Linked DNA regions of Macaca fascicularis. The protein of the gene in region 1 binds, or shares a complex with, the protein of each later gene. Links are inferred from orthologs where the notes say so. Each region holds a gene or a part of one and is shown in the gene's direction. Other genes may lie near its edges. The genes, in order: BMPR2, INHBB and BMP10.

Region 1 (3,979 bases):
GAAACCAAAAATATAATAATAGTGGCTTTTATAGTTACCTAAGTAGGCTTTTGGGTTCCACTTATTGTCTAATGTCCTTTGAGGACTCCCTTTAACATTTCTTGTAGGGCATATCAGCTTTTTTTTTTTTTTTTTTTTTTTTTGAGACAGAGCCTTGCTCTGTCACCCAGGCTGGAGTGCAGTAGCATGATCTCAGTTCACTCCAACCTCCGCCTCCTGGATTCAAGCGATTTTCCTGTCTCAGCATCCCAAGTAGCAGATATAGATATATACAAGTCTTTGTATAAACATATGGTTTCATTTACTTAGGTGAATACCTAAGAGTAGAATGGTTGAATCATGTGGATATTTAAAAACAAACCTAGCCTATTTTTTAAAAGGGAGTTAAAACTAGCTTTCCCCTGGCCAGGCGCGGTGGCTCACACCTGTAATCACAGCACTTTGGGAGGCCAAGGCAGGTGGATCACGAGGTCAGGAGTTCAAGACCAGCCTGGCTAACACAGTGAAACCCCGTCTCTACTAAAAGATAAAAAAAAAAACAAAAAAACAAAAAACAAACAAAAAACAACCAGGTGTGGTGGCAGGCACCTGTAATCTCAGCTACTAAGGAGGCTGAGGGAGGAGAATCGCTTGAACCCGGGAGGCGGAAGTTGCAGTGAGCAGAGATCGTGCCACTGTACTCCAGCCTAGGCGACATTGCAAGACACCATCTCAAAAAAAAAAAAAAGACTAGCTTTCCCCAAAAGGGAGACTATTGTAGGGAGACTATTGTTCATTGCTAATGAATAGGAATACTACAGAATGGGATTGTTTTTTGATACTACTGTTTTGGAACTAGTTTAAAGAAGAGATGTCTATAAGTTTTAAGGTTGGAATGAGGCACTTTTTTTTTTCTTCTTTTAAGGCAGAGTCTCACTCTGTCACTCAGACAGGCGTGCAGTGGCACGGTCTTGGCTCATTGCAACCTCTGCCTCCCAGGTTCAAGCAATTCTCCTGCCTCAGCCTCCCAAGTAGCTGGGAGTACAGACGCAAACCACCATGCTGGCTTTTTTTTTTTTTTTTTTTTTTTTTTGAGACAGAGTCTCACCCTGTCACGCAGGCTGGAGTGCAGTGACTTGATCTCGGCCCACTCCCTCCATGGTTCAAGTGATTCTTCTGCCTCAGCCTCCTGATAGCTGGGACTACAGGCGCGTGCCACCATACCCAGTTAAGTTTTGTACTTTTAGTAGAGACGAGGTTTCACTATATTGGCCAGGCTGATCTCAAACTCCTGACCTCGTGATCCACCCGACTTGGCCTCCCAAAATGCTGGGATTACAGGTGTGAACCACCACACCTGGCCAATTTTTTTATATTTTTAGTAGAGATGGGGTTTCACCATATTGGCCAAACTGGTCTCGAACTCCTAACCTCAGGTAATCTTCCTGCCTCAGCCACCAAAGTGCTGGGATTATAGGCGTAAGCCACTGCGCCCAACCAAGCACTCTTAACTGGGGGTAAAGGAGAAAAGCTCACCTAGAGATAGAAGATAGCCACATGCCCCCAAATTCCATCAAACTCAAAACTTATTTTTGAAGCAGAGTTAGTGACTGTTGATTGACATAATATAACTGTGAATTAACAACAATGACCTAAACCTGTGGCCTTGAAGAAACATCTGCGACTTATTGTTGCTTTTACCTTAATGAATAATTCTTCAGGGAGTTGAGGTAAATCCTGCTTGTTTACTTGTTCATCACCTTTTGAGAATGTTCCTTTATAAATCCTTGAAGCCTAAAATACGTTATTTTAGCTATGTAAAATATACTGGTTAAGGTAATTGATTTTTCTTTTACCTCATGTTGTGAACTGAAAAGTTCAGTATATATTTTTTTTAAAGATAGACGGTTTGACATGTACTTTGTCTTACAGGCAGTGAGGTCACTCAAGGAGACAATCGAAGACTGTTGGGACCAGGATGCAGAGGCTCGGCTTACTGCACAGTGTGCTGAGGAAAGGATGGCTGAACTTATGATGATTTGGGAAAGAAACAAATCTGTGAGCCCAACAGTCAATCCAATGACTACTGCTATGCAGAATGAACGGTAAGACCCTAAGGGGTGTGGCACCTGTCAATCAGTATTAGAAACTGAGACCCAATAAATAACAGAAAATAAATACCTTTAAACCAGCCTAATGGTTCAATGATTATCTCATACAGTCCAAAGTTATCATTTTTCTTTCAATATTCCTATTCTTCTATTGAACATTTTTGTTTGGTACGAGTGCGAGATGAAATCTGCATTTTTTTTATATGTAAAGGTATAGTGAAAGAAGTTAGTCTTTCTCTATTTATGGTCCAACTTTCCTGCAATAATAAAGGTAAAATGTTTCCATAACTCCAAAAGTTCATAAGCACTTCTGTGTAAATTGTCTCATTTATCCTTTGTTGTTACTATTCCTTCTTCCTCTGCTTTTTTTTTAAGTAAATGGAACTATGAACTTGCCTATCTAACCACTGTTTCACTGACACTAAGGTTTCTAGACTTCCTATCTAATGCTCTTTCTTATAGAGTATACTACTACTACTTTTACATGAAAGCAATTCAAAGGTCTTTCTAGTCCATCATTAATACTACTTTACAAGACTTTTTCTTTGCTAGAACTATGATTTTTGGTTCTAAATAAAAAGGCTTTTTAAAAATTCCTACAATTTGGAACTTTCTACGTCTGTATTTCTTTGTTCCATATTTGGGGTAAAAAAGCCTTTGTATGACTCTGTCATTTTGTCTAATACATGTTTAAAACTTTCAGAAAGGCATCCAGGAAAGGGTTATTGGAGAAGATTGAAATAAAAATAAACTCGATTCTTGAAACTTTTTTTTTTTTCCTGTGTGGTTTTTTGGGGTTTTTTTTGTTTGTTTGTTTGTTTTGTTGTTGTTGTTTGTTTGTTTTTTGGAAACTGAGTCTTACTCTGTCCCCCAGGCTGGAGTGCAGTGGCATGATCCTGGCTCACTGCAACCTCTGCCTCCTGGGTTCAAGCGATTCTCCTGCCTCAGCCTCCCGAGTAGCTGAGATTACAGGCATGAGCCACCATCCCCAGCTAATTTTGTATATTTATTAGAGACAGGGTTTCACCACGTTAGCCAGGCTGGTCTCAAACTCCCGACCTCTGGTGATCCACCTGCCTTGGCCTCCCAAAGTACTGGAGATTATAGGCGATAGGTGTGAGCCACCGCGCCCAGCCTATTTTCTGTTGTTCTAATTTGTGAAAGCCATTTATATTAGCCATAGGTCAAAAATTTGGTTTGCACTACTTTTATATAGGTTAAATTAGTTTCGGTTATAAACTCTTACACCTTATATATCAGCAAATCAAGAAAGTTAGACACTGGCTATTCTAATTATAAATTTTTTCACTTTACACATACCTGAGGACTGTCTTCTGCTTTCATCTCCCCTCATCTCTGTATTTCCCATGTCCTCTAGTATGATGTTTATACCTCTCTCAAAAGTCAGCTAAAGCTTTTATTTTGAATGCTTTCAAACTTTTCTTGAATGGTAAGAAAAAAAACCCTTGATGGCCCACCTTGATTTGGCCATTTTTTGCCTCCTGTGTCATTCGGCTCAACCTTCTGCATGCATCTTCTCATCTCCAGTCTCTACTAATAATTTCCCCAAAATTATCATTCATCCCATAGTTACTCTAAGTTTTATTTTACTGAATCTTACCCTCCATGTCTTTTCTTGTACTGTATAACAACTTTTTCTTCTTTTCCTCCTGTCATCTCCCTTATAAATAACGGACATTCCCAAGGAATGACAATGACAGCAAAGAACCCATGATAATTGGAGAGCAATTCTGAATCTTTGATCCTTTATTTGAACATCATATTCTACCTTATACCTTAGGCTCAAGGACTTTTACTGATATGACTCAGACTATCCCAGAAAGATATGCGCCATTACTAGGGTGTGCTTCTTAATGGAGGCCTTTGGA
Region 2 (4,681 bases), about 87 Mb from region 1:
GGTGAGGGCACTGCAGCCCGGGAGCGGCAGCCGCCGGCGGAGCCTGCCTCTAGCGTCCCAGGCCGCGCCGCACCACCCTCGCCTCGCCAGGCTCGGCCGCGAGGGAGCGCCCCGGGAGGGCCGGGGGCGGCCACGGCGGCGGGAGTCGCCTCTGCCGGTTGGGGAGGGCGGCGGCTGGGACAGGCGCAGGGCCTGCGCGGCCGCGGGGAGGGGGCGGTGGGCCGGGAGGAGCGCCCGGATCCAGCGCCCGGAGCCCGTCGGTGCCGCTGGCCGCCTAACTGGGCAAGGGTCCGGGGCGCCCACGTGGTGGGAAAGTTTCGAGGTAGCAAAAGTAGCCGGGCATTGCGGGGGGTGGGAGGGGAGGGGAGGGGAGGGGAGGGGAGAGGGCCGGGTCGCCCCTCCTTCTCGCGAAGGCAGAAAGGAAAAAAGCGGTGGGAAGCGGGGGTGAGCGCGGGGAGCGAGCAGCCCCAACCTGAACAGATTCCGCCTTCCCCTCCTCCCCCCACCCCGGGAAGCCCGAGCGGGGAGGCACGGACCGTCTCCTCTCGCACGGGCAGGACGACACCCTCCCTCCCCCCCTTTTTTCTGCCAACGTCTATCTCAACGCGCGCGCACATACGGAGATTGTGCGGCTTTTTTCCCCCTTGGGAGAAAAAACGGGGAGAGTAAAGGAAGAGAGGGCAAAGAGAAGAACTCCTCCTCGGCGAGCTCCGCACTCCGTACCGCGGCTCGGCGCGGGGACGCCGCCGCCGCCCGCCCGCTCTCTCCCGGCCCTGCGGCGGGTGCCAGTGCGAGCGCGAGCGAGGGCACCGCACCCGGGGACGCTGCGAGACTTTTCGGCGCTCGAGCCGACCTCGCGGCCGCCGCGGCAGGCAGAAGAGACAGGGGCGAGAAGGGCCCTGCCTCCTCCTCGCCTTCCTCGCCCGGAGCCCCGCGCCCGGCCGGGCCGCGCAGGCAGGCGGAGGGAAGGAAGGAGGGAGGCTGCGAGGAGGCGGGCGGAGCAGAGGCCACGGCGAAGCGCGCTGCGGCCGCCCGCCCGCCCGTGGATGCGGCGCCCAGGGAGCCTGGAGACAACTTTGCCGTGTGACGCGCCGGGAGGACTGCAGGGCCCGCGGCCGAGGGCTCGGCGCCGCCTGTGAGCGGGCCCGCGCGGCCGGCTCTCCCGGGCACCGCGCTTGCTCCGCGCCACTGCCCGCCGGCCCGCGGCGAGGACGACCTGCCCGTCTCCGCCGCCGGCGGCCCTTCCCGGCGCGAGGCAGTGAGGGCGAGGCGCTCAGGTGCGAGCGCGGGGCCCCGCCGCAGCGCCCGCCGCAGCGCCGCGCCAAGCCGCGCCCGGCTCCGCTCCGGGGGGCTCCAGCGCCTTCGCTTCCGTCTCGGCCAAGTTGCGTGGACCTGCTCTTTCGCCACCTTCCCCGGCCGCCGGCCGAACCGCCGCTCCCACTGCCGCTGCTTTCGCTTCACCCGAGCCGGGGCTGCGGGGCCCCCGACGCGGAGAGGATGGGGAGAAGGCTGCAGATGCCGAGGCGCCCCGAGACGCCCGTGCAGCAGTGACCCGCGACCTCCGCCCCGTCCGGCGCGCCCCTCGGGCCCCCGGGGCCCTCGGCGCCCCTTCCCCGCCGCGCGGGAACCCCCGCGGCCCGGCCGGCCCCCTCCCCCTGTGAGCCGGCGGCGGCCCTCCCGGCAGGCGGGCGGGCGGAGGCCCGGGCGGGGGCGGGGCGGGGCGGCGCGCCCGGAGCCCGGAGCCCGGCCCTGCGCTCGGCTCGGCTCGCCTCGCGGCGGGCGCCCTCGTCGCCAGCGGCGCACCATGGACGGGCTGCCCGGTCGGGCGCTGGGGGCCGCCTGCCTTCTGCTGCTGGCGGCCGGCTGGCTGGGGCCTGAGGCCTGGGGCTCACCCACGCCCCCGCCGTCGCCTGCCGCGCCGCCGCCACCCCCGCCACCCGGAGCTCCGGGTGGCTCGCAGGACACCTGTACGTCGTGCGGCGGCTTCCGGCGGCCGGAGGAGCTCGGCCGAGTGGACGGCGACTTCCTGGAGGCGGTGAAGCGGCACATCTTGAGCCGCCTGCAGATGCGGGGCCGGCCCAACATCACGCACGCCGTGCCCAAGGCCGCCATGGTCACGGCCCTGCGCAAACTGCACGCGGGCAAGGTGCGCGAGGACGGCCGCGTGGAGATCCCGCACCTCGACGGCCACGCCAGCCCGGGCGCCGACGGCCAGGAGCGCGTTTCCGAAATCATCAGCTTCGCCGAGACAGGTGGGTCCGGTCCTCCGGCTGTCTGCCGCGGTCCCCGCTCGCTCCCGCTTTCCCTCTCCTTGCCAGCTCCGGCTGCTGCTGCCGCCGCCGCCGCCGCCGCAGCCCGCGCGCCCTGGGGGCAGCCCGGACTCCCGGGAGGGCTCCTTCGGCCGTGGCCCTGCGCGCTCCGCCCGGGTTGCAGTCCTCTTCCCCCAGGCCGCAGACCCCCTTCCTGGTGCCTCAACCCCCCGCCGCCGAGCGCCTGGCCCTCCACCCCTGCTCTCCGGAATCGGGCCCCAGCGCCTCTGGGCGCGCGTCCCCCTCCCGGCAGATGCGCGCGGCCCTGGCTCTGCGGGCACTTGGTTGGTGATTGCTTAATGTTTTTGTTTCCCACGATCGGAGTGTAGGCTCAGCAGTGTGGATGGAGATGTGTGTGCTTGTTGATATACGTGGGCCGGAGGAGAGAGAGAGTATGTGTGTGTCTGTGTGTGTGTCTGTGTGTGTGTGTGTGTGCCTGCGTGAGAGGCCCCTGGGGCCGCTTCCATCACCGGCGGCGTGGGCTTGCCAGGATTGCTGAAGCCTCGCTGGGGAGAGCTAGGCAACCTCTCTTCCGATTGTGTGGGCACTGGAATCGGGCGGAAGGCAGGCTTCTCAACAGGTCCATCATTTACACAGAGAAAGCCGCGGCTCGGGGACAGCCCCGTGCCTTTCGGCTTGCCTGGCAGCTGCAGCAGACCCCTCGCCCGAGAGGCGCAGAGTCGTAGTTAACAAAGGGTATGGCTCCTTTCTGGAATCCGCACCCCCCCACTCGGCCCCAGATTGCAAATCTCTAACACTGTCTAAATATAAAAATCAGGGAGAGAAAAATCTTTCGGAACTTTAAAAGAAGAAGAAAAATGTGCCCGCGCCAAAATGCTGCAAGTGCTTTCGACTCCGCTGTCCTTTTCAGGACTTGAATGAGCCAGGCTGGCTTTTGTGCCTGGAGCTCGGCCCCATTTGTGCCGAGGGGACTGCGGAGAAGGTCGCAGAGGGGGAAGCCCCGGTGCAGTCAGGGCGGGGGCAAGCGGGGAGCCTGGGTGGGGGGAGCGGTTGTGCCCCTGGCTGTAAATGCCCCCCACCCCCCCCAGGCAGCAGGCAGCCTGGGGATGAAAAGGGATGAAAAGTTTTGCATGGCCGGGTGTGGAGAAAAGCAGAGACAATCGGGGCTGGTTTGTGCTTAGAAAGAAATGCATTGCCGTTTTAGCTGTCCACTAAAGTGAGTCAGGGAAAGCTCGCCATGCAATTAGAGGGCTCGGATTAAAAGGTGCTTTGGGGCCCAGAGTTAGAAATGTGATTCTGGAAGGTCGAGGAGGCCTTTTGGTCCCGGTGGCACAAAATGACAGCGGGGGCTGTTATATTTCTGGTCCGTTTCACGGAGCCAGCTCTTTGACTTATAAATAACAGATTCAGGTCACAGGCAGCTCGTCCAAGACCAGCTTTTAAGGCTGCAGTTTCCCCCATTTCAAAGTCAGATGTCAGTGTTATTAGAGGAGCCAGGCGAGGCCTGAGGTGTAGGGGCTTGGGAGGGGCATGGTAGGAGGTTTGATAAAACCAGCCCTGACCACAGAGTTTCGTTATTTGTTCTTCCTGGAAAAAAAAAAAAAAAAAAAAAAAAAAGGAAAGGAAAACGTAGATTGTCAGAGGGAAGGGTCACTGAAATGTAGGATGAGAGGGGAGTCATCTCTTGATTGGCACAGCCTCCTTCTTGTTGAGCTGAATTATTGAGAAAATTAACAAGCTAGTTCCCCTACTCCTTGGAGATTTTGAACGTGCCATTAACGGGGAGCCAGAGTCTTGTCAAAGGATTGGACCTCAAGTTTTAAGGCTGAATGTCCTGTCCCTTGAAACTACTCGGAAATAAGGGCTAGGCTCTGCAGCCTGCAAAGCACGCGTTCCTATGTCAGAAACCTGAGCAGAGCCTGCTTGTTTGCAGTGGAGGTTCCACTGGGGGTTGGATCAGATCATACTTAGGTAAACACTGGAAAGAGGCAGTAGGTGGCTCAGCTTGATTTTGCAATGCACTAAGTTAACCAAAAAAAAAAAAGAAAAAAAGAAAAAGCCCTACTAAAACCACCCACCCCAAAATCCTCCCTGCGATCCTGGTTTTGTTTTTCAGATTTCACAGATACCCATAACAACTTGTTAAGATCTTGGCCCCCTGACAAGTTCTTCTGTTGTGCTTTGAGGCCTGACAGCCTGTCTCCAGGGAGCCCTGGCCTGGGAGAGGTGAGGCAGGATTTGATAGGCCCGGACCCTCCAGCCCTAACCTGGTCCGGGTTTCTCAATGGGAAATGATTTTCTCTGCCGCTCCCAGGTTACAGTCAGAGGCCCTGGCCCCAAGAACGGTATTTCTGGTCAATAACGTTTTCCAGCTGTGTGGCGAGTTGCATTCCAGCATCCTGCAGCAGAGA
Region 3 (4,680 bases), on another chromosome or scaffold:
GGCTTGTCCGCAGGGCCTCTCTGGCTGCACCACGGCTGCTACTGTCACTAGTTAGGATGGAAAATGTGATGAAACGGATTTGTCTTTCCTAATCTGGACACACACTCCATTCTACCATCTTTATTTTCAGGACCAAGGCATTTGGCGTTTTTTGTGTGCCTGGTAATGTTGTTTGCCAAGTATATTAGTCAGGGTTCTCTAGAGGGACAGAACTAATAGGGAATGGATATATATGTATATGAGTTTATTAAGTATTAACTCACGCCATCACAAGGTCCCACAATAGGCCGTCTGCAAGCTGAGGAGCAAGGAGAGCCAGTCCAGGTCCCCAGACGGAAGAACTTGGAGTCCCATGTTCAAGGGCGGGAAGCATCCAGCATGGGAGAAAGGTATAGGCTGCGACTCTAGGCCAGTCTAGTCTTTTCACGTTTTTCTGCCTGCTTTATATTCTAGCCATGCTGGCGGCTGATTAGATGGTGCCTACCTAGATTAAGGGTGGGTTTGCCTTTCCCAGCCCACTGACTCAAATGTTAATCTCGTTTGGCAACACCCTCACAGACACACCCAGGATCAATACTTTGCATCCTGCAATCCAATCAAGTTGACACTCAGTATTAACCATCACACCAAGCTTTTGCTGGAACCTCTTGATGACAATTTGATTGAGTCAGAAGGATGAATTTGGCAGAGATGCCGGTCATATTAACAATTCATTGCACAGGTGGAGGACCTGAGGTCCATATCCAACTGCAAATTTCTGCCTGCCTCCTGCCTCCAGGATGATCTGGGGATGTGCTGGCCTCTCAGCATTATTGCCCATGCCCTAGTATGGTGGAATTGTGTTTAAAAGTGTGACGGTTTTATTCTTCATAAGAATCAGACTGCCTTGGTTCAAATTGTAACTCCATCACTTTGCAGGTTTGTGGCCTCTGGCAAGCTACATAACTTCACTGACCCATATATGTGATAGAGATAATGATAGGGTTATTACGGGAGCACACCTGATGATAGATGTAAAGCACTCAGTACAATGCCTGTTTGTAGGAAGCATCTAATCAATTTTAGTTGCCGCTATAACTAAGCACTTGCCTCTTTTTCACATGCCATTTTAGCCAGATCAAATAGGTAGGAAAAAAGGCTATCAATCATGAAGTTTATACTTTCCTGTTTCTAAAAAGGTATACTTCTAAAAACTTATATAATCCATTTATAGCCATTAACTTAAACTTGGAAAGTTTGGATATTTGGTCTGTCTTCAGAAGTGTTTATCTGAGGATGTAAGCCCTACCACTCAAATTACTATGTATCACCACTGATGTGCATTATGTTGATTCTTATACCTATTATATGCATGTGTGAAACTAAGCCCCATAAAAACAGAATTGAGGCATTCCTGCTGAAAGGAAGTGAATTGAAGGGAAGAGAAGCAGAGCCTTTGCAAAGAGAAAATTGTCCTATCTCTCGACCAGTGTCAGAATGTGGAAATGTTTACAAAATGCTCATTAAAAGAAATAAGGATTGCAAGATAGAAACAAATTCTGGTGCACAAGTTTACACTAGGGAGATAAGAAAGGCTAGGCCCCTATAGGGGATTTTGTTATCCAATTACTGCAACCTGACTTTTAGGGGGAGAGGAAGAGTGGTAGGGGGAGGGAGAGAGAGAGGAAGAGTTTCCAAACTTGTCTCCAGTGACAGGAGACATTTACGCTCCACAAGATAAAACTGCCACTTAGAGCCCAGGAGAGCTAAACCTTCCTGGCTTGGCCTAGGGGCTCGAGCGGAGTCATGGGCTCTCTGGGCCTGACACTGTGCGCTCTTTTCTGCCTGGCAGCTCACTCGGTTTCTGGGAGCCCCATCATGAGCCTAGAGCAGTCTCCTCTGGAAGAAGATATGCCCCTTTTTGATGATGTTTTCTCAGAGCAAGATGGTGTCGACTTTAACACACTGCTCCAGAGCATGAAGGATGAGTTTCTCAAGACACTAAACCTCTCTGACATCCCCACGCAGGATTCAGCCAAGGTGGACCCACCAGAGTACATGTTGGAACTCTACAACAAATTTGCAACAGATCGGACCTCCATGCCCTCTGCCAACATCATTCGGAGTTTCAAGAATGAAGGTAAGTTTTTGCTGATGAAATTTGGCTTGGATTTTTTTCAAGACACGATAAGTAAATTTACAATGCATGGGAATGATATAGGTAAGGCTAAATACATCTATATAAGGATGTTAAATACATACAGATAACACTAAAACAAGGCACATTTTGCTCTATACCGTTTATATAGTCATTTCAGAACCTCAATAAATACTTACAAACATCTTTTAATCCAAAGCCACAAAATATCTATCAATTTGACATCATCATTGGGTCCTGTTAAAAAATGTTAATTTGAACACCAGTCAACACAAAGAATTAATGTTGGTCTACTGCCGTATCTTTGTCATTTTCCAAATAGGCCTTGATTGCCATTTGGGCTTTTAATTAACTAAAAAATTTCTCAACTTCTACTTAGAATACCAAGGATAAAATCAGTCAAAAAACATCGAGTTGTGATTTGTGTTTTGTTGAAACTTTTGATAAGTTTTTATTTTGTGACCTTATTTAAGAAATATTCAAACAGGATGGAAATATATTTTAAAGATTCTTCCTAAGGCTATGTTGTTTGATGTGTCATGTACATCCTTAAAGCACTGTTTACAGTTTCCAGGAAGTGTGGATGGCCCATTAATCATCCAGCTCATCATTTCCGTCTTTATAAAGAGCAACGTACAAGCTTTGAATTACTGGTGGGAAAAGTGTGTTTTCTTCTCTTCAGTCTTTAAATTTGGTAACTAAATCTAATGAGCTAGCAAGTTATTTATTTTCTATTTTTTATTTTTTGCTTAATATGGTCCTGGTAGGAAAAAAAACTCTGATATCTAAATATCCATGGTAGAAGCTGATAGTCCAAATGAACTAATTTAATATTTGCCAATTATGTTTTTATAGTCACTAAACAGGTATAAAAGAAGCTTCCCATCAATGTTGGCCAGATGTTCTCAAAAGAAGAAAGGTAATAGTGAAGAAATAGCTCAGGGCTTGGAATTTTAAGGGCTGGTTGGCTTAGTGGTTGTAAATAATTAGCTGATGACTCAGAGCCTCAATTTCCTCATCTGTAAAGTGGGGGTAATAATACCTAGTAACATAGTTGAGTGACTCAAAAGAGGTTACAGATAAGAAAGCACTCCATTTACTATGAAGTGCTGATCCAACTTCAGTGATTACTAATGAGTTACTTAATATTCTAGGTGCTGGAATAAATGTTGAGTAGGTATTCCTTAGTCTCTAAGATATTATCTGCCTTTAAAATTGAGTTGGCTGACAAAATTTCTATTTCATAACATCTTTCTCATGGAAATGGCAAGATGAGATTACAGATTCCTTTTGGTGGGGAGTCTGAATTGAAAATGAACAACCTCCTCCTGTAAGAACCCTCCCTAATACTTCTCAGCACCGAGCCCTAAGTGTCTGGCTCCGGGTGCCGGTGAGAAAATGTTGTTTGCATCCCCCGGAAAAGTAGAAACATTTTCCGTTCTCACTTCTCTCATAGAGTATCTGGATGATCCAGGTCAGGATGTGGAGTTTACTGTGCTTATTATTACTGGAGATTATTGAGGGCAGGAACACACATCTCTCAGTAAACAACCCAGCCGCCAGCACCTCGGCCCGTCTGCAGGAAATGTGCAGCCTGAGGACAGAAATCGCACAGGGCACACACTGTTGGCTACTATTGCCTCTCTTCTTACTCTTTGGATCTGCTTAGTGCAGCTCCCTAGGAGACAAAGACCAAAAAAAAACTCCAAACCTACATCATCTTAGGAAAAAAAGTGCCACCTCCAAAGTGAAAAAAGCATGCCCTCAATTCCTAGCACTGCTCCTTTATCACCTTGTCAGGGGAAGTCAGTTCTCTGCATCGAGGCTTGATTTCTTCTGGTGCAAAATGAGCAGAGAATCAATACCTGCATTATGGGGTCATTGTGAGAACCAGAGAAGATCATGGTTGCAAAGCATCTGGCAAGAGAAATTTGTCAACAAACATTAGTTCTCTTGCCCTGAAATGTAACTCTTCAGTCTATTGCTTACTGCATTTGCACATGCACAGAACTTCACAGCGAACTTACTTTTTCAAAACAGTCTTCTTGAGGTATATTTGACTTATAAAAATATTGGTGTATAAAAGTATAATTGCACATATTTAAAGTGTATAATTTGAAAGGTTTTGACATAGGTAACATTCATTGAAACCATCACCACAATGAAGATCATGAATATATCCATTAACATCAAAAGCTTCCTTGTATGCTTTGTAATGCCTTCTTCCCACTACAGTGAGCTCTTATTTTATACTTTTCTCCTGGGTAGAGCAGCCAGCCTACTCCTCCATGTTCCCTGTCCATGGGGAGTCAAGTCTCCTCCCTTCTAAGAGTGGGAGAATAATTCCCAAGCCCAACCCAAGAGCTTGATGATGGATTAAGGTCATATGTCACGCACATAAATCAATTTAGTCTGATGCCTAGAATCATCAACTAATCAATATTTTTAAAACACTACCTCTGTTTAAGCCATCATAGTAGGACAGAGACATACAAGGGAGTTTTGAGCCATTCAAACCAGGAGGATGGCAATCTAGTTGGGAA

Evidence for each region.
Region 2: the proteins of BMPR2 (region 1) and INHBB are in contact, whole or in part, in a crystal structure (PDB 7U5O), measured with the Homo sapiens proteins. The link is inferred for Macaca fascicularis from reciprocal best matches to the Homo sapiens genes BMPR2 and INHBB. Residues at the interface, in NP_001195.2 of Homo sapiens: Tyr40, Tyr67, Leu69, Val80, Lys81, Trp85, Ser86, His87, Ile88, Gly89, Asp90, Gln92, Ile108, Gln109, Tyr113, Phe115; in NP_002184.2 of Homo sapiens: Phe309, Asn318, Asp319, Ile322, Ala323, Pro324, Gly326, Tyr327, Tyr328, Thr379, Met380, Ser381, Met382, Leu383, Phe385, Asp386, Asn390, Ile391, Val392, Lys393, Asp395, Ile400.
Region 3: the proteins of BMPR2 (region 1) and BMP10 are in contact, whole or in part, in a crystal structure (PDB 7PPA), measured with the Homo sapiens proteins. The link is inferred for Macaca fascicularis from reciprocal best matches to the Homo sapiens genes BMPR2 and BMP10. Residues at the interface, in NP_001195.2 of Homo sapiens: Asp38, Ser64, Tyr67, Leu69, Lys81, Cys84, Trp85, Ser86, Ile88, Gly89, Asp90, Pro91, Gln92, Glu93, Thr103, Thr104, Pro105, Pro106, Ile108, Tyr113, Phe115; in NP_055297.1 of Homo sapiens: Tyr329, Lys333, Asp338, Ser339, Trp340, Ile342, Ala343, Pro344, Pro345, Gly346, Tyr347, Glu348, Glu395, Pro396, Ile397, Ser398, Ile399, Leu400, Leu402, Val407, Tyr409, Phe411, Ala417.

The regions. Positions count from the first base shown.
Region 1 is NC_088386.1:98,427,594-98,431,572, forward strand, and holds part of BMPR2 (bone morphogenetic protein receptor type-2), read left to right. Parts: intron 1-1,911; coding exon 1,912-2,084; intron 2,085-3,979. UniProt on the Homo sapiens protein: On ligand binding, forms a receptor complex consisting of two type II and two type I transmembrane serine/threonine kinases.
Region 2 is NC_088386.1:11,399,607-11,404,287, reverse strand, and holds the start of INHBB (inhibin beta B chain), read left to right. Parts: upstream 1-1,767; 5' UTR 1,768-1,804; coding exon 1,805-2,252; intron 2,253-4,681. UniProt on the Homo sapiens protein: Inhibins and activins inhibit and activate, respectively, the secretion of follitropin by the pituitary gland.
Region 3 is NC_088387.1:53,085,291-53,089,970, forward strand, and holds the start of BMP10 (bone morphogenetic protein 10), read left to right. Parts: upstream 1-1,747; 5' UTR 1,748-1,785; coding exon 1,786-2,119; intron 2,120-4,680. UniProt on the Homo sapiens protein: Required for maintaining the proliferative activity of embryonic cardiomyocytes by preventing premature activation of the negative cell cycle regulator CDKN1C/p57KIP and maintaining the required expression levels of cardiogenic factors such as MEF2C and NKX2-5.